Xenopus tropicalis: one gene and its partner. The protein of the gene in region 1 purifies or fractionates together with the protein of each later gene. This does not show direct contact. Links are inferred from orthologs where the notes say so. Each region holds a gene or a part of one and is shown on either strand. Other genes may lie near its edges.

Region 1 (2,878 bases):
GTAAGTCTGATATTCCACTTGCAAGGCACTTTACACAACAGAAACATTCGTTGCCCATGTTAAGGGCTAGTTTGATTGATCATATTCCCCCTTTATTGCGTGGTGGTGATTTCTAAACTACTACTACAAAGGGAGGCTCAATGGATTCGAAGGTTGGATACTATTGCTCCTCGTGGACTCTGACTCTGATATATAGTATATTATTCACTTCTCTAACTTTCCCACAATGGGAGATGGTTTGAGTATTTTGTTTTTCACTATCGGGTTATCCCCGCTCTCTATTGGCCCCCATATTTATGTTGATATTATTGATGATCGTGCTTTTAAAAAAATCATGTGTCAATTTTTGTTACTGATGTAATGTATAAATGTTAACTATATTTATGATGCGTGAGTAGGTGCTCCATAGATGGTGTTATGAGAGAGGGGGGTTTTAACAGTGATTTTTAATCACTTAATTGATATAATACTTACAGACTCTTGGATTGAACATGCTAATTGATTGGGAGCACTGATTAGTTCATGTTATGTGTGCACTTCACTTCCTTTCCCTATCCTGATGACGATCCTGTGGGGGTCGAGACGCGTAGATGCGATGATTGAATAAACGGACTGTTTATATATCTATTGCCGTGAGTGCTTTCTACATATGCACTCTGTATTTTTTGGTTAGCACCCGGCCGATATCTATGGAGTGGTGAGTGCCGATTTTTTGTAGACTATATATAAATTTTTTTTTATTTTTTTTTTGCAATACAAATGGTGTGGTTTGGGTGGGGGAGACATGCCCAACTTATATACATGGTAAATGTCCTTTAAAATACTGAAATTATATAATCTTTCCTCCAACAGATACACCATTTTGCATTTACCAACATTTGTGTTTTTGTCTCAGTAGGTCTTTCTGGGTGTGTTAACCTTGGGGTGGGAAAGGGAACAGATGGCCAGTCACTCTTATCTGTAACCGAGGTATGTGACAGGAGAGATGGAAGAACTTAAGGCGTATCTTCCATTTGAGTGAGGCCCACTGTTCCTGTCAATCTCTCCCCCTCCAGATTCAGGGTTAACAGCTCTAAGGCACAAGCATCTGCTATAGTTAATCCTTAGAGGCACATTTATCAACATTCAGATTTTAGTGTTTTTTTGAAACCACAAATAAAATGATATCCACTAAAACCTGCAATGTTGAGTCATTTATTAAAAAAATGGTAAGAATCATGGATTCGTTATCTATAGAGATGAGTAGGCCTTACCATCACTGATCGTCCTTATGTCATGACTGTTCTGCACGCTGTGAATCTTTTCTATCAGAGACTCCCTCTCCAGCTCTAGGGCAGAGGCTGCATCACGAAAGGCTTGGACCCTGCAAGAGTGGGAAAACTACATAATGTCACTATTCCTTTGCACTATTCATTCAGCAGAATCTGTTTCTCGCCATCATATTTGAAACCTACAAAAGCTTTGCCATAAAATTTTTATTTAATATGATGTTCAGGTATGGGACCTGTTATTTAGAATGTTTGGGGCCTCGAGTTTTCTGGATAAGTGATCTTATCGTAATTTGGATCTTCATACCATAAGTCTGTTAAAAAAATAAATGTAAACATTAAATAAACTCAATAAAAGTGTTTTGCCACCAATAAGGATTCATTATATTTTAGTTGGGATCAAGTACAAGGTACTATTTTATTATTACAGAGTAAAAGGAAATTATTTTATTAAAATAATTTTGAATTATTTGATTAAAATGGGGTCTATGGGAGATGGCCTTCCTTTAATTTGGTGATACTGGTGTATCCCATACCTGTGTAATCTCTGCAGAAAATGATCTCCATGGACCTTTAGCTATCTGAAAATAGCCTACTTTCCCTTGTCAGCACGTTACTGCTTTCTGTACACAACCCAGCATTCTGCTAAAGTTCCATTGGAAACATGTCAAAAGCAACAAAGAACTGGCAATGATATTTACACTCAAGCAACAGATAAATTGGGACAACCTCCCATGGGCTCCAGCATGTAACAGTTAGTGGGACCCGTTTATCAACACTGGTCAAACTTATCCCTGGCAGTTACCCGTGGCAACTTTTATTATTCTACTTGCAGCTGTCTGAAAAAAGCTACTCACTGATTGGCTGCTATAAATTCCTGCCCAGGTGTAAATTTACCCAGAGTTGATAAATGAGGACCACAGTAGGTCTGTGGCTGGAAAGCCTACAGCTTTATTAATTTGGCTGATATATCAGACGGTGATGTGCCTATATGTGCAACTGGGCAGTTTTGGTGAGCGTGTATGGAGCTGCTCTGGGGAGCCAAGAGAAGTAGCGTTCCCATAATAATAATGGGTTAGTTATTTTTGTTTTTGCTTATGCTGCAGTAAGGGGAATGAAAAGAACAGACATCCAGCGTGCCAAGGAGGAGGCCCCAAATACCTATCGACCCTTTATGTGGCCAAAAATAACCAGGAGTAGAAAAACAAAGACAGATAATGTCTTAAAAAAATCTCAGTCTATTAAAAATTGAGTATTTTCCAGATGCTTGTTTGAATTTTTGTTTCCTTTGAACATGTGACTAAAAGGATCTTTGGGCATTAATGTGGATTTCAGAAAAATTAACCATTACTCACGCATTCCACTTTGTGGCTTGTGGCATAGGGAACACTTTAAAGCTTTTTTCTTTTTGGTAATTATCTTAAACTGAACATCTATTATTCCAAAAAGCTGAGGGATGATGCAGAAGGAATATATTCTCCCAAACCATTCGTCATACTGCAGAGTAAGCAGTAAGTTTGACCGCTACATAAATGTTTCTTAATGAATTGCACTTAGGGAAATAACCATGCTGCTCTCAGTTTATGGCACTGGATAGAGTAAAAGAAACA
Region 2 (3,141 bases), on another chromosome or scaffold:
CCATATTTAGGGTTGTGCCCATCAGAGCCAAGTTCCATGCCAAAACACCCCGCTTAATATATATAAGGGATGCTGGTTTATTGGTTGTATCAGCTGAGGCCTTGTCATGTTGTACAGCTGTGATCTGTGCTCTGAGTGGCAGGTGAGTTACCCTATCAGCCAGTGCCCCTGTAGCAGCTGAAGTCCCGCTCCCTGGAACACTACAGAGCAGAAATCACACTCTGCACAGAGAGGGGTCCTGGTGAGGAAAGACATCTTTATGGATAAAGGGAACATCTTTATCACTGTACAGCTGCAGTCGCCAACACTGTTTTTTTTTTTTGTTGCTCTCTAGGACAAGCATCTTGCTGAGATGGAGGAGCTTTTCTCTCAAGTGGATGAAAAGAGAAAGGTGAGTGTTTAATACTCGACAGCAGTCATAGCTCATACAGGGCCCAGAGCTTTCCTTTTCAGCCTCCTAGAGTTACCGGTATTCCGTTATATCCGTGTTTCCAGCTTGGGTTTGGCAGCTATAAGAAATGAGAAAAGCCGTGTGTAGAGCTGCCATGATGTTGTCTTTATTCTAAGCTCTCCCGGTCCTTCTCTTAACAGAAGAGAGATATCCCAGATTACCTGTGCGGCAAGATCAGCTTTGAGCTTATGAGAGAACCCTGCATAACACCCAGCGGCATCACGTACGATAGGAAAGACATCGAGGAGCATCTTCAGGTAATGTAATATGGGGAGCGGTATGGGAGGGAGGGCTGGGAAATGTTGGAATGAAGGAACGATGTAGGTGTAGATGGACAGGGCCAGATTGTTCTGTGGGGATACCGGGTAAAAACCCAGCAGGCCCTGGCCCTCGTGGGCCCCAACCCAATTGTGATAAACTCTGAAGGGACAGTGACTCCCCTGTTTCAGGATTCATAATAATCTCACTAAGACAGATCTTGGAAAAGTCCATTCAGAATAGAATAATTAAAGGATATTTATATTGCATGGGCCTGCCTATGGGTTGGGGCCAACAGATTACTCCAGCCCTGCAAGTTGTGTCTCTGTGTGTCTCCGAGGAGGCAGGTAATGGGGGTGGGTTAGCAGTGGGTGTGGGGCAGATAATTCCAGACCAGTATATTACAATTTGACATCTCAGAACATGGTATAGTGATGAATTATATTTATGTGCACATGTAAGAGCTGAAATTGGCAGATGTGCAGCTATTGGAAGTGAGCATCAGCTGCTCATATATACACTGGGGGGGTTTCATTCTGCTGTAACTGCCAGCACAGTGATACAGGCACTTGCAAAGCTTTCAGGACATGTATGTGTGCCAGCCCCAGTCTCACTTGTTTATTCTTTAACCAGAGAGTCGGCCACTTTGATCCAGTGACTCGAAGCCCTTTGACTCAAGACCAGCTCATCCCCAACCTGGCCATGAAGGAGGTCATTGATGCGTTCATATCAGAGAATGGCTGGGTGGAGGACTATTGATCATGGGGAAGACTGCAGAAGCCTGGCATTGCCATTAGAGTCCTACTCCTCTTGTGTCACAGACTGTGCCTGTCCAGCCTTAAGCCTTACTCTCCTCCCCTGTGTCTCTGAGCCCTCTGCCAGTAGTCTCTTCTAGGTCCAGCAACCCAAGTCTGCTGCTTTGGTCCTTACTCTTCCGGACCTCCCTGGATTCCCAGTCTCTTGTTTGTGTGCTTTTCCCAGATTCACTACTGCGGTAACCTTCTAGCGAGTGGAACGCTTGCCTGCTTCGGCTTCCTGGTTCATTTCCTTTCCACTTCCAGTAGAGTATTTTATAGCTGTGTGGTTTAAGGGCTGAAGAACTATGTTCTGGTGATGACTTGTTTGCCGACACAGCATGCACTCTGCCAGCCATCATCTCACACCTAGAAGTATTTAGTACAACTCTCAGACTGGGCTACAGTGGTATATGAACAAGCCCGTGATGTCTTCTGTATGCCAATATTTTGCCAGCCGAATATAGCGTGTTCTTATTTAGCTGCTTGACTGTGGAGTTCAACGTTGAATTTTTCTTTTTTGTGAAGTCCTCAACCCGCCCTGCATTGGTTCATTTGCGCTGCGTTGCAGCAGCTGTGATTCGTGGAACAGCACCCTCTGCTGGCAAGACACTAAAAGCAGCACAGCAGAACCTTCAGTGTGGGCTTTGCAGGATGTTGGCTTAGTATGGCAAATTATATACAATGGCTGTGAACTAAGAGTCCGGGCTAAACGGTGCCCTTTGTCCGGTATGGCGACTAACTGCTGCAGGCAGTGCAATGCATGAAACGCATAAAAACCTTTAGATTGTGGTTCCCGAAGCTGCAGATGGAAGGATTTGTATTGACTCAGCCCTAACTACACCAAATGCACATCTGCAGCAATGAATGTATCCACCCCGGGATTTGAACTCCTTGGCTTTACTTTGTACATAGTCCATGTAAATATGTTCTAGTGTCTCTGATATGTATGTGGCCATTGAGGAGTGTGGCAGCCCTTCCGTCAGTACAGATGCATACATTAAAGGAGTTACGCTGTACTGCTGTGCCTGGCTCAATTCACACCCTTACCATTTATTCCTATAACTCTGTACAGAGATTAAATGTCACTCACATCCCAGTGGAGTTTACAATCTAACGTCCCTATCTCACACACTGGGAATTTTCTCAGGAACCACCTGCCTGTGTGTTCCTGGAATGTGGGAGGAAACCAGCCAATCATTCTTGTGGCTGTAATACACCAATTTACTCCTTTGGGAAGGACGGCAAATGAGCAAATATTTCCCCTAGGGCCAAACGATTCACATTGCAATAAAGGGGAAAGGAAAAATCGTAGTGTGTTAATGAGCCTATGTTGTCCCCGACCCGATGACAAAGCCTGTCCGAACATCATCTGGCCAATATTTGGCCAGATAGTGGTTGTGGAGGCTTGTTGGAGGGCCCCGTACATGGGCAGATAAACTGCCGAGTCTGTTTCAAAGGGATACTGTCATGATTTTTATGGTATATTTTATATTCCTAAATTACACTGTTTACATAGCAAATAATTCACTCTACCATTTATAATTTTTTTCTTGAACCAACAAATGTATGTTTTAGCTGTAATATTGGTGTGTAGGCGCCATCTCAGTGCATTGTGCCTGAGTCTGAGCTTTCAGC

What was found. Proteins that work in one complex are often made in the same cells at the same time.
Region 2: the proteins of bag2 (region 1) and stub1 purify together in Homo sapiens (affinity purification with mass spectrometry; 7 studies listed by BioGRID and IntAct, with this or other methods). This does not show direct contact. The link is inferred for Xenopus tropicalis from reciprocal best matches to the Homo sapiens genes BAG2 and STUB1.

The regions. Positions count from the first base shown.
Region 1 is NC_030681.2:95,349,075-95,351,952, reverse strand, and holds part of bag2 (BAG family molecular chaperone regulator 2), read right to left. Parts: intron 1,364-2,878; coding exon 1,254-1,363; intron 1-1,253. UniProt on the Homo sapiens protein: Co-chaperone for HSP70 and HSC70 chaperone proteins. Acts as a nucleotide-exchange factor (NEF) promoting the release of ADP from the HSP70 and HSC70 proteins thereby triggering client/substrate protein release.
Region 2 is NC_030685.2:14,826,167-14,829,307, forward strand, and holds the end of stub1 (E3 ubiquitin-protein ligase CHIP), read left to right. Parts: intron 1-334; coding exon 335-391; intron 392-591; coding exon 592-708; intron 709-1,342; coding exon 1,343-1,468; 3' UTR 1,469-2,522; downstream 2,523-3,141. UniProt on the Homo sapiens protein: E3 ubiquitin-protein ligase which targets misfolded chaperone substrates towards proteasomal degradation.